Elephas maximus indicus: one gene and its partners. The protein of the gene in region 1 binds, or shares a complex with, the protein of each later gene. Links are inferred from orthologs where the notes say so. Each region holds a gene or a part of one and is shown in the gene's direction. Other genes may lie near its edges.

Evidence for each region. Proteins that work in one complex are often made in the same cells at the same time.
Region 2: the proteins of CNOT1 (region 1) and ZFP36 are in contact, whole or in part, in a crystal structure (PDB 4J8S), measured with the Homo sapiens proteins. The link is inferred for Elephas maximus indicus from reciprocal best matches to the Homo sapiens genes CNOT1 and ZFP36. Residues at the interface, in NP_057368.3 of Homo sapiens: Gln821, Glu835, Asp845, Ala848, Asn849, Phe852, Gln853, Tyr856, Asn894, Glu897, Glu898, Phe901, Gln904, Tyr905, Pro906, Glu909; in NP_003398.3 of Homo sapiens: Arg314, Arg315, Leu316, Pro317, Ile318, Phe319, Arg321, Ile322, Ser323, Val324, Ser325.
Region 3: the proteins of CNOT1 (region 1) and CNOT9 are in contact, whole or in part, in a crystal structure (PDB 4CRU), measured with the Homo sapiens proteins. The link is inferred for Elephas maximus indicus from reciprocal best matches to the Homo sapiens genes CNOT1 and CNOT9. Residues at the interface, in NP_057368.3 of Homo sapiens: Ile1415, Ala1416, Thr1418, Thr1419, Gln1422, Ile1423, Lys1426, Asp1427, Phe1428, Met1444, Asn1447, Leu1448, Gly1451, Met1452, Met1454, Ile1455, Arg1458, Glu1459, Tyr1548, Gln1549, Arg1552, Met1553, Pro1554, Gln1556, Ile1557, Leu1559, Val1564, Lys1567, Gln1568, Leu1569; in NP_005435.1 of Homo sapiens: Arg19, Glu20, Tyr23, Ile26, Asn27, Ser30, Ser31, Pro32, Arg35, Pro54, Met55, Trp57, His58, Ser59, Phe60, Gly61, Ile63, Ala64, Ala65, Leu67, Gln68, Val71, Asn72, Tyr74, Pro75, Ser76, Ile77, Asn78, Pro79, Thr81.

What each region holds. Positions count from the first base shown.
Region 1 is NC_064839.1:25,357,985-25,368,465, reverse strand, and holds the start of CNOT1 (CCR4-NOT transcription complex subunit 1), read left to right. Parts: upstream 1-5,382; 5' UTR 5,383-5,521; intron 5,522-10,481.
Region 2 is NC_064829.1:112,053,257-112,063,570, reverse strand, and holds ZFP36 (mRNA decay activator protein ZFP36), read left to right. Parts: upstream 1-6,065; 5' UTR 6,066-6,139; coding exon 6,140-6,163; intron 6,164-6,984; coding exon 6,985-7,932; 3' UTR 7,933-8,037; downstream 8,038-10,314. UniProt on the Homo sapiens protein: Zinc-finger RNA-binding protein that destabilizes several cytoplasmic AU-rich element (ARE)-containing mRNA transcripts by promoting their poly(A) tail removal or deadenylation, and hence provide a mechanism for attenuating protein synthesis.
Region 3 is NC_064824.1:117,128,332-117,139,684, forward strand, and holds the start of CNOT9 (CCR4-NOT transcription complex subunit 9), read left to right. Parts: upstream 1-6,576; 5' UTR 6,577-6,777; coding exon 6,778-6,801; intron 6,802-11,353. UniProt on the Homo sapiens protein: Component of the CCR4-NOT complex which is one of the major cellular mRNA deadenylases and is linked to various cellular processes including bulk mRNA degradation, miRNA-mediated repression, translational repression during translational initiation and general transcription regulation.

The sequences.
Region 1 (10,481 bases):
ACCAGTTTGGGGGACAAACCTCAACTTCTTGTCTCCTTCCCCACAATGAGGAAACCCTGGTGGTGTAGTGGTTAAGTGCTACGGCTGCTAATCAAAAGGTCAGCAGTTTGAATCCACCAGGCGCTCCTTGGAAACTCTATGGGGCAGTTCTACCCTGTCTATAGGGTCGCTATGAGTCAGAATCGACTTGACAGCAACGGTTTAGGCTTTCTTTTTTCCCCACAACGATGCCACCTAGAGATTTACTTCTCTAAGTTTACCTCTCTAATCCCTAAGATGATGGTAGAGAAAGGTGCTAGGCAAAAGATGTTAAGTATAAATTGGGGGCTGAGATAGTATCCAAAGAAGTGTCTGTAATACAAAATGATGACCATCTGCCAAGGCAAGAACCCTGAGTGGGAAGAATGATGACAGACCCCCCCCCAACCCTGGGCAGAGGATGAACAGCAGGGGCCGAGGGTCCAGGCTTCTGGCAATCACTTCTAGTATCAGTTCTGCACACAGGGAAGGCACAGAAAGCTGGGGTAAAGTCACAGACTCTGTCCAGCCCTGGGTCCATCAGGAGTAATTCTAGGTCTGCTCATCTGTCTAGAGCCCAGGGAGGTTTCTCAGATCTGCCCTAACTTTTTTTACACACAACCATTGTCAGATAACCCTAAACCAATCACAACCCAGGGATGCTCTGTGGTCTTCCCCCTTCCCTCTCTAGCTCCTTCCTTATCTCTCAGGAAAAGAGGCAGAAGGAGAAATGACCTTTCAAAAAAAAAGACAGAAGCTTCCCACATCATCGTGAAACAAAACTGCCTGTTATGGAAAGAATCTAAGAATTCAAATGTAAACTCACCTGGAAAACACCAGCCACACAGTATTTTCAGCACCAAAAAAAAAAAAAAAAAAAAATTTTTTTTTTTTTTTTATCTGACCAACGTATAACCCTCTGTCAGACTACGCATCTCATTTTAACTATTTATTTTTACATCTGATTTTTTTTTACTTGAAAAATATATGGTCACCGATGGGCCACTGAATATTACAGCTGGGACCTTAGAGGCCACCCAGTCAGAGGGGTTTCCAAACCAGGGCTTAGAGCATGGTGACTGAGATGTGGGCCCTGAGGTCAGATAGCCTGGGTTCTAACCCTTGCTACGCCTTTGATTAGGTATGTGATCTTGGGGAAGTGTCTGAACCTCTCTAAAATCTGTAAAAAGGAGTAACACGATACCTACCTTGCAGAATCCTAAGGCTTGGATGAGATAAAGCATGTAAAGTGCTTAGCATGTGGTAGGAGGGTGTAATACTTTCACCCCTAAAAACAACGTCGTTAGGTACCATTGAGTTGGTTCCAACTCATAGCGACCCTATGTACAACAGAGTAAAATACTACCCGGTCCTGTGCCATTCCCACAATCATTGTTATCCTTGAGCCCATTGTTGCAGCCACTGTGTCAATCCATCTCTTTGAGGGTTTTCCTCTTTTTTCCTGACCATCTACCAAGCATGATGTCCATCTCCAGGAACTGGTCCCTTCTGATAACATGTCCAAAGTATGTGAGACGAAGTCTTGCCATCCTTGGCTCTAAGGAGCACCTTGGCTGTAAAGATCACACCCAAGAAAACCCTATGGAGCAGCTCTGCTCTGTAACACATGGAGTCCCCATGAGTTGGAATTGACTCCATGGTAACAGGTTTGGTTCTGGGTAATAGAAACATAAACTAACACTGGTTGCTGTCGAGTCAGTTTGGACTCATTGACCCTTGAGACCTGAGTAGAAATGCCCCATATGGTTTCCTAGGCTATAATCTTTACAGAAGCAGACTGCCACGTCTTTCTCCTGCAGAGCAGCTGGTGGGTTCAAACTGCTGACCTTTTAGTTAGCAGCTGAGCACTTAACCACTGCACCACCAGGGCTCCTATACATGGAATAACAAGGCTTTGTATTTCTGCTCACCATTTTCCAAGCACCTCCAAACATTTTATAATACAGTTTATACAGGTTTCAAAGCAAGTCCTTTGTCTTCTAGTTATTTTTTTACTTCTATCCCTAACCCAGTTAAGTAAAGCTCTTGTTCCCAGCACTTATATTTTCCTCTCTAGGTTATTTTGGGAAACAATGAAAAGTTTGTAAAGTTACTTCAGAGCCTCCTATGTACACTTAATTTGGGGTGAAGACCTGGTAGGAAAAGGGGAAGGAAAGAGGCCAGGTGCGTAACTAACAGCTGGCTGAAATGTCTTGTTTCTAAATACCTTTGAGCTCCTGTACACATAATTGCTGAATTATAAGATGATGCAGACCTTTGTGACGGTTTCTAGTAAAACAGTTTGTCTGGGTGTGATCTCTAACTATTTTGTCTTTCAGTAAAAGGAGGAGGTGTACCAGCTCTCCCCTACCCCTTTCCATTTGTAAACATTCTGTGGGACTTTCTAGCTTCCTAGCAAAGATAAAAGCCACCAGTACTGATGAGAATAAGCTGAAGGACTTTGATCGCCAGCCTATTGTGTGAACTCTTTAGGTACTTGGTTGCCTTCAAGTGTGCCCCATGTGGGTCAAATTCTAGGAGTGATGTTGGTGCAGCAACTCCGGAGGAGGGCTGGCAGTGGGCTCAAGGGTCTAGAGCAGCCTCAGTATAAAGCAGCAGACCATTTTTTTGGCACACAGGCTGAAGTGGGGGAAAGGAACTCAGCTGTATTTCAGGAGATCTAAGTTTGAGGCTTCAATTACTAGTAGTTGCAGGATTACAGAGCTGATTTTAGTTGATCTCTTTGGGTCTCAATTTCTATCTCTTTTTAAAAGTTATATGAAATGACACAAACAAAACATGAATACATTCTTTTTATATGAAATGCAAATAATACAATAACAGAATTAAGAGCAAAAGTTCCCTTTATTCTTCCTCATTTTCACTCCTCTCCCCAGGAATGAGGTCTCTGGGTGGCGCAGTTTGTGCTCAGCTAGGGCAACTAACGACAACTAACCTAAAGGTTGGCAGTTTGAACCCATCCAGCAGCACCATGGTAGAAGGGCCTTGTGGTCTGCTGTAATAAAGATCAGAGCCAATGAAAATCCTATGGAACAGTTCTACTCTGTAACGCATAGCATTGCCATGAGCAGGGGCACATTATCCAATAGGCAAGGTAAGCACAGTGCTTACCTTGCTTACCAGATCATCTGTAGTAAACAATTTCACACGGGTTTTGTGAAATTGATGTGAAATCCATGTGAAATTGTTCACTACAGATTAGTAAGTGCTTACCTTGCTTACTGGGTCATCCACCCCTGTAAATTTGAAAAGAGGCTTTGATTCTGTAGGAAGGTGCTGTGGGCTGGGAGAGAGAGAGATGCCAGCCATACCCAGAAGCAGAATCTTTGGTGTGGTGAAAAAATGTTAAATTGTTACTTTGCCTATTGGGTAACCAGCCCCTGGTTATGAGTCAGAATCGACGTGACAGCAATGCCTACCAGGTACTCCAAGAATAACCACTGGTATCAGTTGAGGTGGTGTATCTTTCTGAATCTTTTTACATATTTAGTTACATGTAAATATTTTTTTTTTTTAAATATAGGAATATATAGTTATTTTCTCCCACAAGAATGTAACATTCTGAGTTCGCTACTTTTTTTTTCCAGTTCTGCACCTAATAATTTTTTTCACAATAAATCTTAGTGACCATTCCATACGAGTACATATAGATTTACTTCATTCTTTTTAACAATTCATAATTCATTGTATGACAGTACCACACAATTATTTAACCACTTCCCTACTGTTTCCAATTTTTGCTTCCCATAAACAATGCTTCAGTGAGTATTCTTGTGCATCCCTCTTTGTGCACATCTGCAATGTTCAGCTGTGGAATAAATTTCTAGATATGGAATTACTGGGCTAGTGACTCTGTGAAGTTTCAGTTTCGATAAAATTGGCCAAAATTCTATCCATAGAGATTTTACCAATTTTTTAGTACCAGCAGCAACGTAGAAAAGGGCCTGATTCCCATACTTGGCCTGTTTAAGGGGCCTAAACATTATAATATTGTAAGTCCATTTCTCCATTTCCTGATTTTTCAACATTTATTTGCTCACATGCCTACTATGTGCCAGGCGCTGTGTCAGGTGCTGGGAATACAGCTTCGAACAAGATTGAAGTGATCCTTGCTCTTGCTGTACATGGGGTTTCTGAGCCTCATACAGTTAGTTGCTTGGCAAACACAAGAAAAAGAAAAAACGTTCAATAAATGTTTGCTGCAAAGACTCGGCATCCAAGCAAAGAAAGGCAGGTGTCGAAAAAAATTTTATTTTTTTTAAGCACAAAAGGTAGTATGAGACAGATGGCTAGGTTGAAGATAGGGTGAGAAAAGGGATAGGTTTTTTCGAATTGAAAAAGAGCCAGTCAACGCTTCCTTCCCAGACCTCCCATGCTGGCGTGGGAAGAGGGAAATCTTAACGAACTATATTTTTTACTATAGATAACAAATCACAGCAGAAGATGAGTCTCTCTACCTTTTCTCCCGACAGCAAAGAGCACAGGTATCCTTTCTGATATAGCTTTCAGAGCTCAATCCAGGAAGAGGACCTGGGCTTCCTACGTCTCCGTAGGGCACCCCTTCAACATAGAACTAGAAGTTACTCGACGAAAGCGAGGCAAATCATGACCAGGTGCAGGATCTGGAAGACTACATTCTCCAGGATGCACTGCTCCTCCCTGGGCGCCGCAAGTGACGTCAAAGACGTCCTCTTTACGACAAGAACCGGGGTGGGTACTAGAAAGCAACTACTCGTCCCTGGGTGCAGAGCGCCACCGCTTTAGTCATATACTGGCTTGCTTCCTGGTAGCTGGCGTTCCCCACTTTACTCCGCTCTAAGGAAAGGGACAGGAGGGGAGAGGGGTGTTTAGATTGGGAAGCCCTGCGACACTTCAAAAGAGAAAGTGGGGAAGACCCTTCACTTCAACTCAAAGTAGTTCCCGCGCAGGGTAGTGAAGGGTTGTGGGTTTCCCCCCTTATTTATTGTTTCTTAGAGGCAATGCCAAGCTCCTATTGGTTGAAGACCTCGAGGGTGGGAAGTACACGAACCCACAAATCGAAGTTTTCTCCGTATCCCCATTGGCCCCGCCCGTAGCGCAGGCGCGAGGGCTCCAACTCCAGCCCCTGGGGACTTGTGAGAGGCAATTGGCCAAACCCTGCGAAGTGGGAGTCCGGATTGGTAGTTGCTAGCAGGAGCCTGGTTTCTTCCTAGACTTCTGCAAGTGATAGTGTGTGATTGGTTTAAATCCGCGGGCACCTGTCGGTGATTGGGCGGGAGCCACGGGACGGGTGCGATCATTGGCTGGTGCTGGGGCCATCCCCCCTCGGGCGGGCGACGAATGATGAAATGGGAACGGGGAGGGGAAAGGCCGCGACGAGAGCGCGCGACCTCGGCGCCATTTTGTAGAGAAACAAGCGGAGTTAACCGAAGAGGGGGTCGAGGAGCGCCGGAGTCGGGGACCCAGGAGTTTCCTGTGTCCAGCGCCGCCGCAGCCGTGTGAGGTGAGGTTGGCTGGAGCCTGGGGTTGCCGTAGGCGGACCTGGTCAGCTACGGGACGCGAGTGCCGGTGGGGAAAGGCACGGGGGTGGTCCTGGGGCCATTGGAAACGTTGCCCGAGTTCTGGGGAGTGAGGAGCAGCCAGGCCGGGAAAGTGGCGAGGCAGGGGAGGGTGGACTCTGCCCCTACGACTCGCGGAGGCTTGGGCCCTAAGGAAAAGAGGCCAGCGCGAAAGCTCCGGGAAACGGATGGCAGAGCGCGGGGTGAGAGCCGGGGTGGCCCCCGGCCCGGGCCTGGACGCTCCGAGGACGGCGGCGGTGGCGGCAGTTTGGGCCACTGGGCCTCACTTCGCGCGATCTGCATCTCCTAAGACCCCACCAGTCTCCTCAACTTGTTCTTTCCTCTCTGGGCTCCCGAATGGGTGCAGGGGCATCGGCCCCCGAGGCCTACTTCCGTGGACAGGGGGACCGTGTTTGGAGTTGTGGGCTCCCGGTTCTTCTCCGTGTACCTGGATCTGCGAGTCCCCTCCTCGCCCCCAGCACGTTGTCAAATCCCCCATGTTTCGGGTGGCTACGGGTGGGAGGGGCGGGCGGGAGCGAGCACTTCCTCATTACTTCTGGCCACAGGTTTTGTTCCGCTCGCGCGCCTGTGCGCTCAGTTTTCTCCGCCGTCCGCCCCCAGCCACCCGCCGGCTGTCTGCAATAGTGGCGGTTCTGCCCGTCCGCGGGGAGCACCCCTAGCGAAGAGAACGCTTGTAGGCCACAGTTGCTGGTGAGAAATTTGCCGCAGATCTAACGGGGGTTACTTAAGGCCGAACACACAAATAATACCTTTTTTCCCCCGGTATCCTTCCCCCTTGCAGAATTCATCCAGCTGTGCTAGTACAGATACCACCCCCACGAGTAGTAAGCTTTGTGGGTTAAAGAGCAAAACAAATACTGATCGATGTGTTTGAAAATGTTGTGCTTAATAGAAACTATATTACAATTAAATCCCTCTGAAGACACTCAGTCGAATGTCACATTTCTTAGGACTCTATTATTTGCTTTTCTGCCTATTTCTCTATAACTCTGTTGCATGTGACTGGGTTTTTTTGTTTTTTTTTTTTAAGCAGTTAGTAATTTAGGAAATATAATCGAGTACTTTTTTTAGGAAAAAATTCTGAACACTCCCTCTATGGCAGGCCCTTTGATAGGGATAGGGATACATGGATGAAAAAATGGGGGAAGGTGAGAAAAAATTAGCAAGTAGGTCAAACAGATTAAGAACAAACTTGTTTTAGAAGGGATACTTGAATTTAATACTTTAGTGATCTTTGACCCAGGTTGAGATTCTTAGCCTTCCAAAGATTGGTAGTACAGTATTTTAATTGTTAATAAGCTGTATGGTAACAGTTGAATCACATTTTAGGACACTGCAAATTGTTACCTTGTCTAAGAAGAAAATGGGTTGATGATACATAAAGCTTAGGCATCTAGTGTTTTGACGGAAATGGCAGCATGTTGATAAAATCTGTTTGGAGGATTGGTCCTTTTTCAACAAGTGGGCCCCAAGACTTTCAGTGAAAACTTAAAAAAGACTTAATCAAGGAACAAAGACTTGACCAGTAAATGAAAATACTTCCCTTTCTTACCTAACATTGTAGTCTTAGAAATTAAAAAAAAAATTTTTTTATACTCTGAGTAACAAAATATTTGCCATTTTAACAATCTTCACATGTACAGTTCAGTGACATTAAGTGTGTTCATCATGTTGTTCAGCCATCACCATTAACACGCTTACTGTCCCCCGAGTCTGTCTTAGGAGTTTTAAGGCAAGCTTTCTGGCACTGTGGTGGAACAGAGCTGAAATGCTCTTCCCTGGTTCCGTGGCTCTTCCTAGTCTCTTAAATTTCTACTGAAGATTTAAATCCTGGTCTCCCTGTCATGGATCATCTCAGGTTAAGTACTTCGACATTCTCTAAACTTTGGATTAAATCATAAAAAACAAAACTATGTGAAGCCAGAAAAGGAGATGCCTACTACCTCTTCAAAACATGCTTTAAAGACTAATTTCACAATTATCTTTGATGTTGATTTTTGTAAGTATGTTTTTGGTTAGATGCTGATCTAGTTAGAAGAAACGTTCTTTTTCCAGCTTGTATTTATAAACTTGATTTTTTATTTCATTCTGTTAGATAAATCTTTGGCCAATTTGTCTACAATAATTCCAATTAAAACACTGATTTTTGTAAAATGTTTGTTAGTCATTTTGAAATGCTGTGCCTTACTAACTGGACATATTCTTTTGTAAAAGAAGAAAGCTTTCAAGTCATCAAAAATATTAGCTGAAGCACTTCTTAAATAGCCCTCTGACCAAACTGAACTTCCTGCTGGGAAGTTTCAAAATGGCATCCCACTGAGCCTTATTTTAGGACTTTATATATAGAAAATCCCAGCAGTTCCTTTTCTGTTTGCTCACAATTTTTTAGTAGCTGTTTCAAAGCTAAAATCATTTGGAAACCTTTTGCATCCTGTGTACATAATAGTTTATTTTAACATACTTTTCACTCAGTCTTGCAAGAATGTAACGAAACAGTTAAATCCTTCATTGAAAAGCATTCTTTTAAGAAGTCAGCAATTAGAGGTGTAGACTTAATCTGCAACCCTCTTCTGAGGTTTGAAGGAAATACAGCCTTTCAGAGTGTAGAGGGTGGATTTAAGAAATGTTTAATGTTGTTAGGAGGAAAGTCTAAAATGTTGATTGAGACATTAAATTGTATGCAGGAGAGTTTTTTGTGATGTTGAACTAACGATATGAAATAGAAGGTGGGATGAAAGCATATTTTGAAATACACCATCCTAATGTTTTTAAGATTCATATTAAGAGCTCAACATTTTCCCTTAGATGATTAAATTAGCTTGAATGTTTGTCACTCAAGTCTTCAATTTATAGCTCCTAGTTTTTGAAATTGTTACTTTTTTATATAGATCTGTTGTAAGAATAGTTTTTGTCTAGTTTCAGACCCTTTATCTTTTTTGCAGTAGCTTTCTAACTAATGTCCAGTACCATTTCCAGTCCATTTGTTTATTGGGTTTCTTTTTTATGTAGATAACATGTGAATACGTTATAATTGTAAAAGATTCTAGGAATACCATTCTTTATATTACTGCCGATTTGCTTCCAAATTTGGTCCTTTGGAAATATCCTTTTTCTGCTCAGAAGTCCTTCAGATACCTTTATCTGGAGCTAGAAGGGCTGACCCCTCCTTGTCCGTAGCAGCACATTAATGTTCTGTGCTATGTGAACAAAAGACTGCTACACAGTTGTCTCCAGATACATCTCTGCCCCTTTTGTCTGGAAAGTCCCCGTCATCTGTATCTCCCAAAACTTCATCCCTCATTCCAGTCCAAACTCAAATGTGTTGTCTACTAATCTTTCCTGATCATTCTTAGCCAAATTGATTTTTCACATTTCTCTTGGCCTCCTAAAGACTACTTGGAAAGTTCACTTAATTGTATGCCTGTAAATTTTCTGTGGGCAAGGAGTCTCCCCTTCCTCAAAATGTAAACATTGCCCAGATTTATGAATGAATAGCACTTCATTTGATACAGTTCGGTAGATTTATAGACCATGGCATTCTTAGGAAACAGTATGTCTTGTTTTTGTTCTTTCAGGGCGTGGATTCTCTCTCTTATGGCTATATATTTATAATTGTTATTTTTTTTAGATAATTAAACTTTGGAAGTTTGTCATTCAGAATTTTGTTGCCATCACTTTATGAAATTGAAGCCCAGGAAAGTGAGGTGACTAATTTAAGGTCAAGTAATGGCAAAGCTGAGTGTGTCAGGTTTTCCTACTCTAGCCTAATGTTCTGTCTTTTCATACTGTTTAACTTGAGTTGTGACATTATTAGAGTTTAATACAAAGACATAAAAGATCCAGGTATCTGATAGTTCATCAAAAAAATGAGAACCTGTATGGTCAATCAGTCGCTTTTTTTTTTTTTCTTTCTTTTAATAATGCTTGTTGTGTTAGGTTTAGGTTCCCATTCAACAGTTTCTACACAAGTTGTTCAGTGATGTTGGTTATGTTCTTCACAATGCGTGAATGTTCTCATTTTTTCCATTTTGGTATTCTGTTTCATTAATTTAGTTTCTCTGCCCCCTTACATTCTCATCTTTGTTTTAATTATTGACTGTTTGGTCTCATATAGATTTTTTTTAAAGGAGCACAGTATTTATGCGTGATAGTAGTTATTTTTTGAGCCAATTTGTTACTTAGCTACAGGATGACCTTGGGTTAGCTTCGGTTCAAGGTTTGAAGAGTATCTCAGGCCAGTAGTCTCAGGGAGTCCTCCAGTTTCAACCAGTCCAGTAGGTCTGGGTTTTTTTGGGCGGTGGGGGGTGTTTGAGGTTCTGTTCCACATATTTTTTCCATTCCACAATCAGTGTCCACCTCTTGTGGCCCTGATTAGAATGATCAGTAGTGGTAGCTGGGCACCATCTAGTTCTTTTTGTCTCAGGGTAGATGAGGCTGTGGTTCAAGTTGACTATTTGTCCTGTAGACTAGTTTTTACTTTTCTTTTGTTTGCTCCTTTCTCTTTTGCTCTGGATGAGTAGATACGAAGAGTTGTAAGACCCCAGGTGCTAGTCACCAAACTAGGATGTAGAACATAACTTTGTGAACTAAAACTCATTGCTGTTGAGTCAAATTCAACTTGTAGGAACCCTATAGGACAGAGTAAAACTGCCGCATACAGTTTCCAAGGTTGTAAACCTTTATGGAAGCTAACTGCCGCATCTTTCTCCCTGCATCTTTCTCCCTCTGAACGGCTGGTGGTTTCCAACGTCTGACCTTTCAGTCAGCAGCTGAGCGCTTACCCATTGTGCCTCTAGGGCTCCTTTTAGGAACTAAACCAGTTGCCTTTTTTATTTTATTTTATTTTATTTTAAATACACACACTGTTTTGTGACATTAGTTGCA
Region 2 (10,314 bases), on another chromosome or scaffold:
ACCATAGCGACCCAGAGCCCAAGTCCCCACACTAGAGTCCTGGAAAATGACCAGCAGTGTGTGTGTGTGTGTGTGTATGAACATGTACATCCCGGGAAATTCCTCCCCTTTCTCCTTGTCCTTCCTCGAAATGCCAGGGCCCACAGGGTAGGCCATCAGGAAGGCTGGGCTGGAACTCTTGGGCACAAGCTGAAGCTTCCATCCACAGGTGCAACTCCTTCCGGGAAGCCTCGGCCCTGCTCATGTAACTGATGAACCAACTCCCCCCATTATCTACATACTCTCCCTTATTTAAAGTCAACTGATTATGTACTTTAATCCCATCTACAAAATACCTTCACCTTCACAGCAACACCTAGATTAACATTTGAGTACCTTGGCACTATAGCCTACTCAGGTTGACACACACAACTGACCACCATAATCTACCCCTTGGCCACTTGGCACCAGTATACATTTTAAACTATACTGAATCTCCAAATAAATACACTAATGAAGTCATATTTCTGCCTAAAACCCATAATCCATTGCTGTTGAGTTGATCCTGACTCATATCAACCCTATAAGACAAAGAACTGTCCCATAGGGTTTCCAAGGAGTGGCTGGTGGATTTGATCTGACAACCTTTTGGTTGGCAGCCATAGCACTTAACCACTGGGCCACCAGGGCTCCATACTTCTACCTAACGTGATGCAGCTATCCTGTGTATGACCAAAAACGCACTAACCCTTTCCCCAGCAGAGCCCACCCTGGGGGACATGCCAGGTACTGGTGGAGGCGTGTCGGTGCCACACGAGAAGACTGGGGGACAGTTGGACCTACTGGGCAGAGGCAACATGACCACCTTACACAGAGGCTGGGGTGTGGCTTGCCACCACCCATGATCGAGGGCCCACAGTGCTGAAAACCACACCACATTGAAGGGGAAGACTAAAACAGAGCAGGGATGAGGCGAGGGGGTGGGTGCACAGCCCAGCAGCCACACACAGGATGGGACGTGTGCACCAGGAAGCTGTGTTCATTTGACAACCATTTAGTGAGCACCTAGTGTGGGCCAGGCCCAGTACAAAGATCCCTGCCCTGCTGGAGCAGATACCTTAGTGAGAGACCATAAACATGACAAAGTAGAACGTGTTATCTGATAGCGAGATGCTCCAAGAAGAAAAATAAGGCAGAGGAGTGAGATCAGAAGTAGAGATTTATAACAGCAAAAAACTTGGTACTTAGGAATAAGTCTAAGGCAAGAAACACAAGAGGAAAATTATTAAGCCGTTGAAAACCATTAAAGTTGAAGAGCTTAGGTTGGGTAGGGGTTTCACGGATATTAATTACTATGGTGTACGAACGGATGTTACCTGTATTTTCTTGTATTTATTATGTTATATAGATAAGATGGAAACCACAGTGGTGTAATGGTTAAGAGCTACAGCGGCTAATCAAAAGGTCAGCAGTTCAAATCCACCAGGCACTCCTTGGAAACCCTGTGGGGCAGTTCTACTCTGTCCTATAAGGCCGCTATGGCAACCGGTTTATAGATAAGATAGAGCCCTGGCAGCGCATGCGGTGGTTAAGAGCTCAGCTGCTAATCAAAAGGTCAGCAGTTCCAATCCACCAGCCACTCCTTGGAAACCCTAATGGCGCAGTTTTATTCTGTCCTATAGGGTGGCTATGAGTCAGAATTGACTCGATGACAATGAGTTTTTTTAAAATATAGATACACAAGATTATTATCTAAAAAAGGAAAGTTTTTTTTTTTTAACCTTTGACACAAATTAAGGAAAGCCTCACTGAGGCAATACTGGAGCAAAGACTTGAAGTGGGAATAAGTCATGTGAGCATGTGGGGCAAGGGCATTCCACAGAGAGGGAACAGCAAGTGCAAAGGCCCTGAGGTAGGGATGTGCTGTTGTGTTTATTGAACAGCAAGACGACCTGGGCCACAGTGAGGGGGTGGGAATAGGACAGGAAGTCGAAGCAGATCATGGAGGGACTTGGGGAGAACTTTGTTCTTACTAGGTTATTAGACCGAGTCCGGTGCACAACCACACACTCCAGGGAAGGGTGTATGTGAGATACACAGCCACTCCTGTAGGGAAAAGACCGTGGGGGATACACCCCATCCCAACAGAGGATACCATGATCTACCATCCTACAAGCGCGGTGTCCCCAGGGACCCTGTCACAGTGGCTGCACCACAAACTCTCTGAAGAAATAATCCAATGCCATGAATACACAAACAACCCTCTACCCAGCACTTAACCCGCTATCTGTCACCCCATCGCAGACTTTGCCCATCACAGGCTGACTCAGCCCTGCCCTCAGCCCAACACTATCAGAGGCAGTGTCGCTGGGCATAGATAAGGCCGAACACAGACGCTGCCGTGACTTCTCAGGTGCTGGTGTGTGTGCGTCTGCTCTGCCCACGAAGGCAGACACACCAACAACAACAGGGAGGGGGGCCCCCGCCAGCCGCCTCCCCATCACGCGCGCTGCAGACGTCAGGAACCAAGTTCACCAGTTTCACTGCCTTGTGACGGGGCCACAGGGGAACCACATCCAGACACTGGCCTACCATATTCTAATGCACACGCAATCTGTGACACCAACAAATAAGGCCACAGACGCATGTGAGCACTGTTCACACACCTGGTGATTACACACAAAACTGCCACAACCACACACACGCAGATGGGTGAGCTTACACACAAAGTTGTGTGTGCACAGCCCATCACACCCTCACACAGTTGAGGCCCCCATGTGGGGCACACACAGTTGTACATAGTTCTACAAGGCTGAGAGCACCTCTAGTCACACCAGAGGGCACACACCCGCGCCCAGGCATCTTCACGGAGTTACACACACCCTCAGCCACTCCAGATCCTGCCATGGCATACAGCTATACACAGATGTACAAGCAAAACTCCTGTCAGTCACACGTTGTCATGACTGCCACCTCAAAGCCAGATGCACATAGAGTTCCCACACCCACAGAGGGTTAAAATATGCACAATATGGTCAACCGCACAGGCATAGGCAGTTTGGCACACTTATTCACACACACAGTCACGTCTCATGCACCTTCCACCCTCGGTCTCACACAGCCGGTCATGCCGGGGCACACGCCTTCGCACCTGCAGCGCACACGCTGTTCACACTGCCGCGCGCGCGCGCGCGCGCGCACACACACACACAGGTCCCACGCTCCCTCTCCCCCACGCAGTCGCACACCCAGGCGCAGACAGCCAGCCCGTCCCCCAGGCACACTGGACTCACACCCAGTCAGTCCCGCCGGGCGCACACACGCCACAGGCACACACACGTGCTGCGAGTACGCGGCCCCCAGCTCGCCCGCCCGCCGGCCCGGCCGCCCGCCCGCGCGCTCACAACGGCTCTCACACCCCCGCGTTTCCCGTCCCCGCTTGTTTTTCTGGAAACTCTGCTCCCCGCTCCCCTCCCCCTAGGCCGGAAGTGTTTGCTGTATTTTTAGCCTCTCTGGTTTCCGCCCCTACCCCTCTCCCCTAGCCGCTCAGGACCTGCCCCCAGCGCCTTGGCGGGGGACCCCGGCCGTCCCCTTCCCCAACATCATTCCAAAGGGGATTCCCGGCCGCCGCCGCTGGGGCCGCGGATTTTCCCGCTGGCTACGTCGGGAGCGGGGAGGAGTCCAACGTGAACTTCCTCCTGGGCTGGGACGCCTGACCCCCGGGGGTGGGGGTGGGGGTGGGGGCGGGGGCTGGGAGCCCAGACTCCTGAGTCTGAGCCCGGAGGGGCCTGGGGGTCCGAATTCCTGGGTCTTGGGGAGGAGGGGGCTGGAGGCCCGAACTTCCAGGCTTGGGGGAGAAGGGGACAGGGGGCCGGGACTCCTGGGTCTGGGGGAGGAGGCTGCTTGAGAACCTGAACTCTTCTTTCGCGAGGAGGGGCTGAGATCCCGACCCCTGAGCCCCACAGGTCCGTGTTCGGGGTGCGGGGGGTCAGTCTGTCCGCCCGCAAGGTCCCCCCCTTAAGTCTTTTTGGCCCGGTCCCAAGCGTCCCGGCTCTCTGGCGGATGACTCAGCAGATGGGGGAAGGGAGGGAGGGTCAGCCTGACTCAGGGATGGGAAATGCTCCTTTTTTCCAGGGAATCGGAACGGGATTCCTACTCTAGGACCTCGGCCAGCGTCTAGCTGGGCCCCGGAGACCCCAGGGTGCCCCCACCCATGTTCTCCAGCCGTAGTCCTGTTAGCGGCACCGGGATTTGGAGTCCCCCTGGGAGGGGGCCCGAGGCACCACCACCCCATTTCCCGTTGTTTTGTAGGCTCTGTTTACAGAAGACAGAAGCCCTGGTTACAAGAGAGGAACCCGGGCGTCCGGCCCGAGCCTCCTCGTCACGGCTTCCAGGAAGCCCCCTCTCCCCCGCCCCTTGCAAGTGAGTCACGGGCAAGCGGGAGGCCGCAACCGTGCCAGAGCCGCCCGCGGCCGCTCAGTTCACGAGACCGGCCTGGGAAGGCCCCTGGGCCCCAGAATGCGCTGCACCAGGGATTCCCCCCGTGCTCCGAGGAGCAAATCGCCGCGGAGTCTGGCACAATCTCCCCACCTCAGTGCAAGCCCGCTGCCGCAGTCTGCAAGAATGAATTTTCCGTCATTATAACCCCTCAGTGACAATGGTTTCTTACCGCCTCACCCCTCTCCCTCTCCAGTTTGCGCCTAGGGCCCTACCCATTGCCTTCCAGTCGATTCTGACTGCCCCATAGAGTTTCCAAGGCTGTAATCTTTACAGAAGCAGACTGCCACATTTTTCTCCTGCTTGGCAGCTGGTGGCTTGGAACAGCCAACCTTTCTGTTAGCCCGCGAGTGCTTAACCAATGTTCCCAGGTCCACAACCCCCTTAAAGAACAAGCTTTCTTCCCATATCTTAAGAGAGTTTTCACTCAGGACATCCGCCTGACAATAAGAGACTTGCCAATGTGGGGAATGATCCTCAGCATAGTTGGAGTTCTTGAGGCCAACACCATGATAAACCTCATCCACACATCAGCTGGGGATGACTCATTTCTCCAATCTCAAAACCACTTTCAATCAAGGCAACCCTCCATCATAACAAAAGATCTCTTCCCCCTTTCTGTCTTCAGGATTTGCTCAGAGAGCAAACCTGTAAATATAACTTAAGGTACTGATATTTGGGCCGCTGCCGCTTAGTATAGCTGGGTAGCAAAGGGAGTAACTTTAACTCTGTGCCTCTCTTTTACACAAGTTTCCACTTGTGTAAAATGAGCATATTAATACCTGGTTGACTCATAGCAGTGATAAAGTGAAGGTATATAAAGTACTTAGAAGAGTGCCCAGCCCAGAAGTGACCTAGAATCGTCATCAGCTTCGCGAAGACGAGGGGCTACAGGGGCCCTGCTGAATTGAGAAAGGAGGCCCCTTTCCAGCCTGGCCAGGTAGCCGGGCCACCCACACAACCAACCCGCGAGTGGGGGCGGGAGGGCGGTCGGTCCAGGTCTCCGGATCTGTGTTGCTTGGAAGAGTGCCAAGGGCAGGTCTGGGAAGAGAACTCGCTTCCAGCCTACTGCGCCCATTTCCCCGTTTTGCCCCTTGGAGTTTCTGTCTCCCTCTTCGTGCGTTTATCACTGTTTTTCTCTGTCTCTTTGTACGAATCTCTCCATCCTGCTTCTCATTCTAAACTTCTCTCTGAGACTGTCTCTCATGATGTTTTCTGTCTCCCCACCTCCCCTCTCTCGGTGTGTTTCATCCTGTATATGTCTCTCTCTCCATGTCTGTCCCGCACTCACGCACGCACGCACACCCTCTCTTTTGTCTGTCTGTTCCCTTGTCAATTCCCCGTGGACCTCTGACCCGCCTCCGCCCCTGCTCCCTTCTTCGCGCCTCAGTCTCCAATCTTGAAAACTGGGCCGACACTCCGCACCCCACGCACCCCCCGACTGTGGGCCGGGCGGAAGGGGACTAGTCCAGGACTGGCGCGGCCCGCGCCGGGGGCGCGCGTCCGGGAAGCGCCCTCCTGATCCCGCCCCCCGCCCCGGCCCCGCCCCGATTAGCCCCACCCTCTGTCTATAAGAGGGTGGCCCTCCAGCCCCAACGCAGCCTCTGACTCCATCTCTTCTACTCTCGGCCGAGCCCTCAGCTGACCGGCCCCCAGCTCCGCCATGGATCTCACTGCTATCTACGAGGTGAGCCCCCGCAGCGGCCACCCCCTTTCAAACTAGCGCTCCTTAGCGCCGCAAACTCCGGCCCGGAGACCCTGGCTCCCTTCTCAAACTGAGGCTCCTTAGTGCCACCCACTCCGGCACGGGGTCCCTGCCTTTCTTCTCAGACCAGTGCGATTCTCTGGAGGCGAAAATGAAGCCCGGGACTCCCGGATCTCGTCCCCAATATGGGTGCGGTGACCCTGGAGATAGAAAGCCGGAGGATTTTTCTCCGACGAGGGCTGTCTAGAGGCGGAAACGGCCCCCGAACCTGGCTTACCCCTAGGAGTTGCTGAGGGCGCGCTTTTGCGCGTAGGCGGTTCAGGGGCAAGAGTCTGGAGGGGGAAGCCGACCTCTGTTCCTTGCCTGCCTCCCTCCCTGTCCAGGGGAAGGCTCTCAGAACTGAACCAAAGGGATCCGGACTCCGGGGTTAACTTTGACAGGATCTTCCAGTTATCATACTGGCGATCTAGGAGGCATGGGTCAGATCCGCGGAGTCCCAGAGGCTCAAAATTGGGGGACAGTGGTGTGCCCTGACTTTGGGGCCCCCTCTGTGCCCGGGATCGGAGAGCCCAAATTCCCGGGTGCCCCGGGGTAGGCTTCAGTCGTGGATAAACTCCAAGCCTCCAAATCGAGATTCCTGGAATCGCGAAACCCCGGGTTTCTGCGGGCGGGTGGGGCTCAAGTCAGAGCCCACAAACCCACAAACCGGGCGGGCAGGGCAGGCTCTTAAGGTGCCTTGCCCTGAAGCTGGGGCGGAGCGTCACCCTCCATTTTCGGTGTCTTAACCGCCCCCATTCCCACAGAGCCTCCTGTCGCTGAGTCCTGACCTGGCAGGGACAACCCGCGGAGGCACTGAGTCCAGCCTGGGATGGCCCTCCTCAGGACCCTGGAGCTCATCCGATTGCAGCCCTGCCGGCGTGGTCCCCCGCCTGCCCGGCCGCTCCACCAGCTTGGTGGAGGGCCGCGCCTGCGCCTGGGTGCCACCACCCCCAGGCTTCGCACCCCTGGCTCCACGCCCAGGCCCTGAGTTGTCACCCTCACCCACCTCGCCTACTGCAACCCCGGCCACCTCGTCCCGCTACAAGACTGAGCTGTGTCGGACCTTCTCTGAGAGCGGGCGCTGCCGCTACGGGGCTAAGTGTCAGTTTGCCCATGGCCTGAGTGAGCTGCGCCAGGCCAATCGCCACCCCAAGTACAAGACGGAACTCTGCCACAAGTTCTACCTCCAGGGCCGCTGCCCCTACGGCTCGCGCTGCCACTTCATCCACAACCCCAGCGAGGACTTGGCCACCCCTGGGCACCCCCACGTGTTGCGCCAGAGCGTCAGCTTCTCTGGCCTGCCCTCCGGCCGCCGGGCTTCACCACCACCAGCGGGCCTGCCGGGCCCTTCCCTGTCCTCCTGCTCCTTCTCGCCCTCCAGCTCCCCGCCACCACCGCCTGGGGACCTCCCACTCTCGCCCTCTGCTTTCTCTGCTGCCCCTGGGACCCCTGTGCCCCGAAGGGACCCCACCCCAACCTGTTGCCCCTCCTGTCGAAGAGCAACTCCCAGTCTCTGGGGACCCTTGGGTGGCCTGGCTCGGAGCCCCTCTGCACACTCCTTGGGATCCGACCCTGACGACTATGCCAGCAGCGGCAGCAGTCTGGGGGGCTCTGACTCACCTGTCTTCGAGACGGGGGTTTTTGGGCCACCCCAGCCGCCTGCAGCCCCCCGCCGACTCCCCATCTTCAATCGCATTTCCGTTTCTGAGTGACAAGTCCTCCCTAGTACAGATCAGCTGGATCACAGAGGGGGTCCATTTCTCATGCTGTGGACGCCACAAAGGGCCCTGGGGCTGTGGGGAACTGGGGGAGCCCTTGATCAAGTAGCCCCCTTCACCTTCCCAGATGCATTAACCCACTCTTCTGACCCTGCCCTGGGGCAGGTCCCCAGTGTGCCAGCTGGACAGTGTTTATGGTGTGGGAGATGGAGTGTTTGCTGGGTTCTTTAAAGACAAGATGTAGCATATTGGAGGGAGGCAGTGGGGTCCCCAGCTCTCCCCTGCCCAAATCGGTCTCTTAGAATCTCATGTGCTGTGAATAATAGGCCCCCACTGCCCCCTCCCAATTTTCCTAGACCTGAGGTCCCAACGCCTGGGGGTTAGTGGAGCCTCCCCTGAGAGGGAATCCTGGTGCTCAAATTTCTCTCCAAAAGCAAGCAGCCAAAGCCGTTGCCACCCCCCCGCCCAAGCCAATGGGTCTTTTATTTATGACGACTTTATTTATTCTAATAGATTTTATAGTATTTATATATATTGGGTCGTCTGCTCCCCTTGTATTTTTCTTTCTCCTTTTGTAATATTGGAAACAATGGAATAATTATTGTTATAAGTATACTATAATAATATATTAATATATATATTGTTACCTGAAAAGTCTATTTTTGTGTTTTTTGGAATTTTTAAATAAAAAGAATCAACGTGTAGACTGGAATCCTGGCTTTTCTAGCGTCCGAAGGGCGTGAGGAATGGGAAGGATGGATGGTGTGCCCGTTTTTAGAAGCGGGGTCAAGTTAAATAAGAACTCCAAACTTCCCCGGCGCGGAGCTCCTCCGGGCGCTTACCTGGCAGGAAGTGACATAATCGGCCGACCGTTCACCTGAGGGGGCGGGGCCAGGTGAGGTCACCCGGCAGGAGCCGGGAGAGCCAGTTCCCGGAGCGTGGGGGACACAGGCGCTCCCGTCCCGTCAGGCTGCCTGCCCTAGCTCTCGCCCGGGCGCGGGCGGGGACGGGATGTTTCCGTCCCCATGAGGCAGGCCGCAGGAGGAGGGCGGGGCAGAGCGGGAGGACGGAATGTGCTGGCGCTTGAGCCCAGGGGCGGGCCCCGCGGGCGCGGGGTGACGGGTGAGGGGGAAGGGGAGCGGTGGAGGGTCGGGAAGGGTCACCCCGGAAACGCCAGGGCGGGCGTTCTGGGCTCTCAGGAGCCAGCGCGTTAAGATTTGAGATTCTGAGGCATCTAGGCTTTTTCGAAATCTTGGGGGGAACTGTTTTAAAGGCTCAGGGTTCTAGGCTCTCAACATCTCAGAATCTCAGAATTTGTCTCTTGCCGAGTTAGAATTCTAGACCCCCAGAATTCCAGACCCTTGGCATCTCAAGACGTTAGGAATCGCAGAATTCTCGAACTCTGGTATTCCAGGATCCTGTTGTCCTATGCCTTCCAGACGATTCCGACTCACAGCGACCCTATAGGACAGAGGAGACCTGCTCCATAGGGTTTCCTGGGCTGTCATCTTTAATGGAGCAGATTGTCAGGTCTGTGCTTCCGCAGAGGGGCTGGTGGGTACCAACCGCCGACCTCTGGGTTAGCAGGAGCCCTTAGCCATTGGGCCACCAAGGCTCCTTTTCCAGGGTCCTAGAACCTGGGAATTAAAGAATCTTAGCAGGTCAGGCTTCTGAAAGTTCAGAATTACAGGATCTGGGCATTTCCGAACCTTGGAAGCGGGCAGGCCCCAGGCAGTTGCAGGACCGGCCAGGGTCAGCCTCCCCAGCGCAGTGTAGGTGAGTGTTGGCCGTGCGTCTCAGGGCGGAGCCCGGCGAGCCGCGACCTCGCACCATACAAGGCAAGAGGCCTCGGAGCCACCCCCGGGGCGGGGTAGCTGCGCGCCCGGAAGCGGCCCCGCGTCAGGGCCTGCGCCCCGCCCCTCTATCGCACTCTCCAACTCCCCCAACCCGACCCTCTTCCCCTCCTCCTTTCCCCCCTTTCCCCTCCTCCTCCCCCCCTTTCCCCTCCTCCTCCCACTTCCCTCTCCTCCGCTCGTCCCCACCCTCGATGCGGCTGCACCCTCACCCCTCTTCCCCCTCCTTCTCTCTTCCTCCTCTCAGCCTCCAGCCCTCCCTCCTCCTCCTCTCCCTCCTGTTTTTGCCTCACCCCCTTCACCCCCCCAGTACCCTTTCCCTCTCCCCTTTTTCTACGCTTCCAGCCCTCCTCATCCTCTGCCTTCCCTCACCATCCTTTCCCTGCCCTCTCACTCCTCTTTGCCACTCTCCTCCCCTCCCTACCCCTCTGTTCCCTCTGTCCCGCCCCCCAGCCCGTCCTCCTCCCCCCTCCTCTTCCCCCTGCCCCTTTCCCTCCATTCCCTTCTCCCTTCCTCACACCTT
Region 3 (11,353 bases), on another chromosome or scaffold:
AGAGAAAAATGATTTATGAAGAATACGAATTGGTATGTAGTTACAGAATGCATTATGAAAACAGAAACAGTAAATCTGCCTAAAACTAGGATTCATGTTATGCATTGCTCAAAGAAGAAACTCCATGTTAAGAGTTGTAGGTCTTTGCAAATTTCTTGAGCTTTCCTTATGTCATTATGGGTCAGAGTGCCAAAATAAAAGAGAAAATAAAACTCTATTCTCTTAATGTTTTCCTTACAGAACCACAAGTAAGTAAAAGTCACTGACTTTGAAATTTCCAATGAAAAATATATATTTTAAAAATAACATTTAATGAAATTCTGAGATAAAGTTCCAAAGTTCACTAAAGCATTAGAGAAACAAAAAATGTATTGGTTACTTCTGTTTATAGATAACTATGCCTCCCAAACACTCAAATATTTCAGTACAAAGTTTTGGTTAACTGCATAAGATTTTACTTCAAATACTGAAAATGTCTCAATCATTTCTGCTAGCAGCCTCTCTTTCTTCTAAAGAAAAAAAAAAAAAAAAAACTAAAAGATGCAGGACATAAAATTGGCAGAGCCAATAAGACAAAACTTTTTCTTAATGCCTCAATTTACCCCGTTACCTGCTTTCGCACTAACTGAAGTAACTACATCCACTTTTGCACATTCATCATGTTCTCAGGGATTCCCTTAGTGGGGTAAGAGGAAAAAAAACTAAGCTTCTTTTTCGGTATCTTGCATGATCCAGTAACAGTTAAACTTTCTATGAATCTAGGACAGACAAGGTTTCTTTGAACTCTGCGATGCTAATTCTCCTATCAAAGCAATATTAGGGAGACAAAGGATAACTAATTATTTTTTAAGTATGTACAAAGAGATTCCCCTTTTCCTAAATTTCTTCACAATTATTAAAATTACTGTTCAGTTTTGAACATTTCATGAAAGCTCAATCAATATTGGCAAAAATATTCCTATTTCCTGTACATTTATTTGAATGCTCATATTTTAGGTTCCACTTTGAAAACACTCTTATTTAGAGGGCATTCTGTGGTAAAGATAGTATGCTAAAGCATAAAACTGTTACTACAAAATAGACATAGAAAACTGTCATTCTTGCCAATTTCCGTACTCTTGGGAGCACATATCCAAAACAAAAATATTACTTACTTTTCAGTGACTTTTACTGAAAAACCCTATGTAATAACAATTCACCTTTATTCTGATCCTTGTGCCAAAGGCAAAGCACTCTTCTTGGGGAACTACTCATATTCTGCAGCTATGCCAGTTCTCCGGAAGCCATCAACTCAGCTGAAAAAAATATAAATGTGTCTTTTTAAAAGAATCAAATATACAAAATTAAAACTTAAAAAAATCATTTATACAACAAAGATTAATCCTTTGATTATTAAAAACCACAAACTTACTAAAAACATTTAAAACATGACGCTCAACACAGACACACACACAGACACACACACACACACGATCAACAGGACTGTAGGAGCACTGCTACGCAAAATGAGGGACTCCAGAAGGAGCCAGCACCTTGATTAACTTGTGTCTTGGTTTATTTACCCTGCTACATTTTGAAACTAAGAAAGAGTATATGCTTTGTTGATTTTATAAACATAGTTACATAATAATGTCTTTAAACACCAGTTACATGATGTGCTGATATATATTTCAAAAGGCAGGTAAACTTGGAGCTTTCACTTTTCTTTCAAAACTAAATGTGTGGGTTTCTTTCTCAAACTTAGGCCTAAGTCTGAACTTTTCCTCAAGTTCTACCCAAACATCTCTCACTCACCTACTTTAATGCCACAACTTTTAAATTCATTTACTTAGTAATATATCATTTACTGAGCTACTCCAATTTGAAGGGCTGAGGTAGAGATACAAATGTGCAGATGATACAACCCATACCCTCACTTCAAGGGTCACCAGACTTTCCTACTTTCATCCTTCTATCATCATTGAGGCAAGAAATTTTAGCATCAGCTTTAACCTCATTTTCCTCCATCCAAACCTCAGCCTCTTCATAGCTACTATCCTAATTCAGACACTCCTCTCTGTCACAACCTCCACCCCGTATTATGCAACATTTACTAAGCACAGTCCTAAGTCCCATACATACATTATCTCATTTAATTTTCATAATAATCCTAAAGGATAGGGATTATTATCTCCATTTTACAGATAGGCAAATAGGCTTAGAGGGAGTAAGTAATTTATCCATGGTCACAGAATTAGGAAGAAACAAAACTAAGTACTGCCAGAGCCCACATTTCTATATTCCATCCTCATCCATGAACTGCATCAATTGCTTTCCAGTCTCCATTCTCTCAATTTTTTTCACCCAATGAATCTTTTACACTATAATATCCTTTCTAACGGCTACTCTTTGGGCATTATCAGCTAAGTTATGCAGTAATCGTCACCTTAACTTCATCGCTGAAGGAGAAAATAAAGTCGTATCTTCCTATATATTCCAAGAAAACGCTCTTAGTAAGTGCTAAATTGATTGATGCTAATTCCTTCCCCTTTTTAACAGCTCATGACTACCCATAAAAGAAATTCAAATGCTTCTCTGTGTTTGGGATTCATACACTTCCTATTTCTAAATACAAATCCTGTTCTACACAAACTATTACATTTTAACATTTCCTCCCATATCCACCACCACCAACTGACTTAAATATGGAATTTTGCTTTATCTATTTTGGAAACCTCATCCTCACTGGTCTCACAGTCTACCCCGTTGCTAAAATATATATATATAAACCACTGCTCTGATTTCCAAGGGCTTTCTTTCCTAAAAAGATCCATATGACAAACACACAACAAGATAAAATTAGTGGTGTGGCTGAAAGTAAAGAAGGAAGTTAGCCTACATAAAATTTATCTCCAATTCAAAGAATGAATCTGAATGATTTTATGACATATGAAAGGGTATAATGACCCAAAGCTGGAAAACTCTTTGTTTTTCTCTTGTGGTCCTCTGTTTTTGCAAAAGGTAGCTGTCTTAAAATGACAATAATCAGTAAACTGGTCCTTCCAAAAGACTCATGGTTGTTATTTAAGTCCAGTTTACTCATTTAACAATTTTTTGAGAAGTAGAAATGGTCATTAGTTTGTAATCTAGTAGAACACAGACTTTAAACAATTTCACAAGTAAATATACAATTACAAGTTCCAATAAGTGATAAAAAGTGAAAGTACAGGGCAAGATGAGAGATTACAACAGGGTATTTAAGATTTGGTGGTAAAGGGTAGGGAACATTAAGAAAAGTACCACTTGAACAGAAAATTAAGTAAGTTGATTGGGGAATGGTGGTGCTGGAACAATCCAAGAAAACAGAAAAGAATTTCTTTTTTATTTTATAAAAGTGCAAAGGCCCTGAGATAGGTAAGAACCTGGCATGACTGAAAAGTAGCAGCATGGATGCTGCTTAGTGACAGAGAGAATGGTGCAAGATGAAGCTAGTGAAGCAAGAGCCGAGTTACACAGTTTTACAGACCACAGTAAGGATTCTGAATTTGATCTTTACTATTCAACATAATGGAAATGCTGGTGGCTTAGTGGTTAAGAGCTACAGCTGCTAACCAAAAGGCTGGCAGTTCGAATCCACCAGCCACTCCCTGGAAACCCTATGGGGCAGTTCTACTCTGTCCAATAGGGTCACTGTGAGTCAGAATCAACTCGACGGCAATGGGTTGTTTTTTTTTTTTTAACTCAGTGTAATAAGCACTTAGTGATGGGAGATGCATGGGAGGGTTTTAAGCAGAGAAAATGCCATATTACTGCTGAATGGAGAAGTGACGTGGTTTGTTTGGGTCTGGGGACAAGAACAGTGGAGGGAGCAAGAACAGAAGAAAACAGAGCAACCAGATAGAATACTTAAGTTGTTCGGCTTATAACAACAATTACAATAACAAGTAACACTTATTGGCCATTTACCATGTACCAAGTGCTCATCGTGGTTATCTCATTTAATCCTCCCAACAATCCAATAAGGTAGAACCTTTTATTATTTCCATTTTACAGATGAAAATACTTGGAACCAGTGAGATTAAGTCCAGGTGAAAGGCGACTGTAGCTCGAACTAAAAAAGGTGGTAGTGAAGATGTAGAGAAATAGATTCAAGACATATATTGAAGTATAATAGATAGAATTTGGAGAGGGTATGGATACACAGGATGAGGGAAAAGCCAAGAATGACTTTCAAGTTTCTAACCTGTGTAACTGGATAAATGGATGTATCATTTAATAAAATGGGACACTGGAAGAAAAAGAATTTGGGTGTGGGAAGAATGACCAAGACATGTTTCAGACATGTTATATTTGAAATTCCTCTGAAAAAATTAAGTAGAGATGTCAAACAGGCAGTTGGCTATTTAGATGTGGAGTTCAAAGCAAAGGGATTGGATGGGAAATAAACATTCTTAAGTTTTCAATGTAGAGATGGAATTTGAGGCTTATGGAAGGCAAAAGTAAAAGCAGAAGAGGACCTAGGGCTGAAGTCCAGATATTCAAAATAGAAACACCTCTTACTAAGATCACTAATTACTTCTATGTCACCAGGGTTTTTTCAGTCCTCATTCAATTTTACCTTTCAGCAGAATTCAACACTATTGACAACTTCTTTCATCTCTTTTGCAAGGCTCATTCTCCTTTATCCAGTTATTAAATGTTAAGAATTCTTCAATGCTCCCTCCTAGGTCCCCTTCTTTTCTAGCACTATACTCTATGCAATTTCATCCACATCCATAGCTTCAATTACTACCAACATGACTCTCTGTTTATGTGTATATATACAGTCCCTATGAGTCGGAATTGACTTGACAGCAACAGGTTTTTTACAGGTGTACACATGTATATACAATTGTCAGCCCAGAAATTCTTCTCTGAGCTCCAACAGCATATCCAACTGTCTACCTGACATCTCCTTTAAGATAGCTCTTCCAGTTACAGGCCCGTCAGGCATCGTTGTTAGTTGCCATCCAGTCAATTTTGAGTCGTGGTGACCCCATGTGTGCAAAGTAGAACTCCTCCATAGGGTTTTCCAAGCTATGACTTTTTGGAAGCAGATTGCCAGGCCTATCTTCTGAGGCACCTCTAGCTGGGTCTGAACTGCCAACGTTTCAGTTAGTAGTCCATAAATTAACCATTTGAGCCACCCAGAGACTCCTGTCTGGCATTAGCAACCTCCCCCCCGCCCCCCCGCAAAAGGCATTCACAGAGCTAACATTTTGAGGGGATTACAACAAAACCAAACAGCCCTGGTGGCACAATGGTTACGAGCTCGACAGCCAACCAAAAGGTTGGTCCAGCGGCTCCATGGGAGAAAGACCTGGTGATCTGCTTCCATAAACACTGCAGCCAAGAAAACCCTCCAGGGCCGTTCTACTCTGTCACATGGAGTCACTAGGAGTGGAGAACGACTCGAGGGCACCCAGCCACCACCACCACCACAAAACCATTACAGGACAACTCGTCAGAATACAGGGCTTTGCCATCAATTACCATTTCCTTCTGCGGATCATAACCTAAAACGGGTAAACCTGACAACCTAATCTGATGGCCAGAAATGGGGAACACCAGACAGATGCACGACAAAAAATATAATTCATGCCTTTTGGTGAAGGATACTTAGGAGAGGAAAGAAAGTGAAGAATGGTCCAGAGACTGAATTGAGTATCATGTCTAGGACCCGATGGAATGTGCGGCAACGGAAGTCACCTGAAGAGACAGCAGGCCTCATTAAGTGGCAAGTGGTGGACGACAGCAGGAGCCAGTTTCGGACTGCGGAGGGCACGGGACAGTAAAGACCAGGTTTTAAGAGAGGGAGAGCCTGGGGGGAAGCCCCAAGTCGAGTATCTGAGGCTAGGGACCGTCGAGGGGTTGGGGGGCGGGCTGAGAAGCAGCGCGGTGAACTCTTTAAGAGTGAACGCCGAGTGGGCGGACAGCGAAGGGGAGGGGGGCTGGGAGAAACAGCTCAGTTGAGAAGCTTGCCGGGCCCGCCTTACCTGTGCCTGCGAGTCAGGAGCCCCAGAACAGGCCTACCGGAAACACAGAGTCCGAGCGGAGGAGGAGGAACCGGGAGTAAAGTAGGGGTACCGGCCACTGTGGAGCGGGGCCGCTCACTCCCCCAGTCAGGGAGAGCGGCTGATGGCGGGAACTGTGACCACACGCAAACACGCACGCACGCACGCACACTCGACGCGACCAAACCAGGCGTGCGCGCAAGCCTATAACTCCGCCCTTCCTACGCCTTCGCCCCGCCTCGGCACCAAGCGACGCCCTGCACAGAAGCCCCGCCCCTGCCGTGACTGTAGTACGCACGCGCACTTTCCATTTCATCCCCCTTTCGAGCTCCCACCATTTCCCTCCTACTGAGCCCAGTCGGGCATGCGCACTAACAGGCCTCCCGAGACTGCTCCTCTTTTCCCGCCCTTCACTGGCTTCCGAAGGAGGGTCAGAGTTCACACCCGTAAGGATGCCTACTTGAAGCCGGGGATACGGGGACTAGCGGGTCGCGGACGTCCTCCCTGAATCTTAAGGGGCAAAAGACATACTGTGAGACTTTTAACTCCGCCGAGGGCAGGGAGGCGGGAAGAGGTTGTGTGGGCGGGGTCAGGGGTGAGAGGTCAGAGGGCGGCGAAGGGGGCGGAGCGAGCCGGAGGCGGATGGCGGCTGCGGCGGCTCATCATCTTCGGCGGCAGCGGCGCTGAAGCAGGACGCGGATCGGGCGCGTCCGGCGGTAGGAGGAGAGTGGCGGCCGCCCCCAACATGCACAGCCTGGCGACGGCTGCGGTGAGTGGCTGGACCGGCCGGCCTGGGCCCAGAACCCCTCCTCAGCCCTGCGTTTCGACCTCCTCTCCCAGCTCCCTGTGTCGGCCCCGAGTCCAGCTCCTTCTGCCCTCAGCCGGCGAGGCCCTGCTTCCCTCCTCGCCGCGCCTTTCCTGCGATGCGGCTGGCCGCCGCTCTCCTCGGCTGACGGCTCTCGCTGCCTGTCTCTGCGCGTAGCGTTCTGTTCCGGCCCTGGGGCCTGGTCCAGCGCCCGGAGCGTCTCCCTCGCGGCCCGGGCCGGCCATTCATTGATTCCTTACGCTGACCAACAGTTTGAGAGCCGCAATGGTGTGCTGGGCGCCGGCGGGGCCGAGGGGGATCCCGTGGTAAATCTGACGCGGCCGGTGCTCTCGGAACTTACTGCCTAACGCAGCAGGATGGGAATGGCTTCTAGCTCAAACCACTAGCTTTTACAGATGGAAAACCTGAAGCCCGGAGAAGTGAATAAATATGCATCTGGTTATGATTCTTTGCTTTTAAAACCTTTCACACATCTCGTCCCAACAGCTTACCAGGCTTTACCAGCGTGCTCTTTTAACAAGAAAAGCGCAACGTGTATTTCACCTGTCTGAAGTACTTCTATGGCTTCCCATTGCACTTAGATAAAATCTAGACTCCTTGCCATGGCCTGCAAGGCCCTGTGTGATGTCGTCCTTACTCACGTTTTCAGCCTTGTCTTATGTCACTGGAACCTGATGGCACAGTGGTTAAGGGCACGGCTGCTATCCAAAAGGTCAGCGGTTGGATTCCACCAGCTGCTCTTTGGAAACCCTATGGGACAGTTCTACTCCGTCCTGTAGGGTCTTTATGACCCGGAATCGACTTCACTGCAACGGGTTTGGTTTTTTAATTTGGTTCTTATGTCAGTTGCTCCATGTGCTTTAGCTACACTGCCCCCTTGCTAACCCTCCTCCATGTGCTTTTCCACTCCTGGGTGCACCTCTGGTCTCTATGTCTGAAATGCTTTTCTTCCCTCTGTGTGTGTTTGTGTGTCTCACACACACAAACACACACACACACACCATGTGGGTGTAACAGGCTCTCATCCTTCTGGTCTCCACCTAAATGTGCTTCAGAGTGGCCTTCCCTGGCCACCTTATTCAGAGTAGCCAACTTTTCTCTTTCAGAGTACCCTGCCTAATACCGATCCTAATATGTAGCTATTGTATGAAGTTACTAGCTTGTTGTCCTCCCCCTTGAACACAGAAACAGGGATCATTTGGGTCCTGTTTACATTGTTTCCCCAGTGCTAGGATAGTTTCTGCTACCATTTAGTAACTCAAATACTTTGTTCAGTGAAGTAATATAAATGCAGGAGGTGACCACTGAGAACATGTAGCCATAATGGGAAAAAGGGATCATTTGATTTTAGTGAACGCTTCTGCATGCCAGTCCTACTTTTTCAGTTTCACCAAGGACAAAGTGACTTAAGCAGATAATAACGTGCTGAAATTGCATTACCAGGCAACATGACATAAGTTCTAAATAGAGCACAAAAGAAATTGCCTTAACTTTAAATATAACAACTGAAGAAAAAGTGAGCCAAGTGTGGCTAGCCTATAGCAAACATTGCTTTCTGAGATTTGATCCTTATCAAGTCATCATTTCCAGGGCCAGTGGCATCTCTGTCTCCTGTCACCATGTTTGTAATTGTGGAGAGGTACTTTTTAAATCTTAATTTGATTTTAATTTCCCTAGCTTTTTTATTCTACCTCCCAAATTTGGGAAGAAGTACATTGCAAGGTAAGGCTGCTGCTGGTAGGGGAAAAAAGAAAACAGGAGAGAGGCAGATTAAACTGAGGGAGATTCTTGTAAGGTTGGCTCTCTCTCAAAATCTTTGTCTTCCCCAGGATTTGTACTTTTGATACCAAGCCATTCTCCAATTTTATTTTCAATAGTTCATCTTTTGAACAGCCATTGAAGCTGTGGTACATTAAGAATAATAAATACTCAGTATATGCTTCTTCAATGTACAATGCCTTATATTTACTTAAGAATTTAAACTTTTACATGTACTTGCACCTGTTACACTAGTTGGACTGTACAGCAGCTCTGACAAGTTCCTTTGTACCACTCATCCACTGAGCTATTTGATTAGTGAGGAGACTGAGGCATAGAAAAGTTGACTCACCTCGTTCCCAATCCCTCATGTCATCTGTTAGACCAAACTGGGAATTATGATCTGGGTAAAAGGACAATAATGATGTATATCACTCATTAGAAGATGGGGAGAGTTAATAATACATGCAACATTACCCACAATAATCTAAGCTACTTGAGAAGATGCTTACATATTGCCCAATAATGAAAATTTATATTTGTGTATGTGCCTTTATCACTCCCTTCTCCCTTCTTTTTTTTTTTAAATAGCAGGAAAGTTATTTCTTCAGGCAGGGAGATAGAAAGTACTATCATAGGATGATGTGATCACACGTGAATTCAGGCTATTCTTTGTAGAGGGAGAGATTGAGATAATTGGGGAAGTACCTTAAATCTTGAGAGTAGAGTAATATTTTATTATGCTAGAACTGTGCAGTAGACAAGGAGCTGTGGATAAGCACTTGGCTGCTAACCTGAATATTGCTGGTTCAAACTCACCAGCTGCCCCACAGGGGAAAGATGTGACAGTCTGCTTCCGGAAAGATGGCAGCCTTGGAAACCCTGTGCGGCGGTTCTGCTCTGTCCAATAGGGTCACTATGAGTCGAAATCAACTCGACAGCAATGGATTTGGTTTTGATGTAGTAGACTTGTCATTCTTGAGGGAATACATCCTAACAACTTTGTTATTGCCAACATAGAATATAATAGGGACAGTAATACCACACGAGATTATTCTAAAGATTGAACAAGAATGACAAACTGCTTAGTGGTTGGCTCACTTCACTCACTGGTTAAATGACTTGCTTCCAGACTTCAGCCTTGGGATTTTAGTTCCTACCTCTGCAAAGTAATAACTTTGTTATGGACCTTGGAGATTGCTTCAGATTAAAACAACTACAAATCTTCACATACCTAGAGTTGTTATCTTCCGTAATGAATGTTATGCTAGTGATCTGAAAGCCAAAGGTATACCTTTAAGAAATGCTTTGGAGATACATATACATATATATATTTTTCTTAATTTCCCACTAATTCCCAATAACAATTGTAGCATCCTTAAGCCATAATCTTTCCCTTACTTTCTACCTGGTCATTTTATATACTTTTGTTGAAGCTGTGATGAACTCCCAGAAGCCCTCCCTTTTGGAAAGTAGAAAGAACACTGCACACTGAAGGATCTCCTCCTGGGTCTCCCATTGAAGCTTTAGTCAAATTGCTTAACTTCTCTTTGCTTGTTCACATCTATTTTTCAAAAAGTTACCTTGAAGAATATTCTGGCCCTTATTTTACAAGATAAGAGGTTAATAAAGCTAATTGAATACTTGAAGCACTATTTAGAAAGTTCTATTTTTTTTGGTGTGGAGCTCTGATGGTGCAGTGGTTAAGAGCTTGGCTGCTAACCGAAAGCTTGGCAGTTCAAATCCACCAGCCACTCCTTGGAAACCCCATGGGGGCAGTTCTGTCTATGGGGTCACTATGAGTCAGAATCAACTTGACAGCAACGGTTTTGGCTTGGTTTTTTCTTGGCATATCATCATTATGTTGACACCCAAAGCCACTTGAATCATCTCCAGACTTTAGAAAATAATTCCTATTTCAATCTAAGTCAATTTTTGAATTCACTGTCACATATTCATTGGTGTCAGGAAAACTGACAGCTATCTTGGCCCTTGAACATAATGTTATATTGATAGATTTGGCTATTTCTGTTTAAGAAAGCCATCTATATTAATTTTTTAATTAACCCAAAAGGAAAAAATCATAATTAAGATAATTTCTAATATCTGTCTCCTTGTCATAGTAAATGTTAAGATCTTTCAGAGATCGAAAACCAACTGTCAATACCCAGTGTTTGTTGACACTTGGAGTTAGCCATTAGTGACTCACTTTGGTATAAATTTCTAACCTGTATTACGTTTTGTTGAAAGAAAAAGGTGTTACTTGAAATACGTGGTCCATGTACAGACTGTTAAACGGAAAAGCACAGAAAAGGGAAGAACAACTTCCTACTTCCTTCTAAATTTTGATAATGTAAACATTATAGGGGTTTTGTTTTGGTTTTTAAAGCATATAATAAAAAGAAAAGACTGTTAACCTTAAACTTAAGAAAATTCTTTATTGGATTTTTTTCAAAATAAGTTTTTCTACTTGGAGGGATATTTGTTGATTTCAGTCCTGAAGACCCTGTAGGGATCTCTGCTTCTAGAGAGAAGTAGACCAGAGTTTAAATCTCACTGTGCTGTGCACTGGCTGTGTGACCTTGAGTGTGTTCAACCTTGACCCTGTTTCTTAGAATTTTAAGACTAAAGTGAGGTAATGGACAGTGCCTAGCACATAGTATGCTCAATAAATAAATGCTCTATAGTTTTAATTTGATCCTTACAGAAACCTGGGGCTCAAAAATTGTTAACCTTT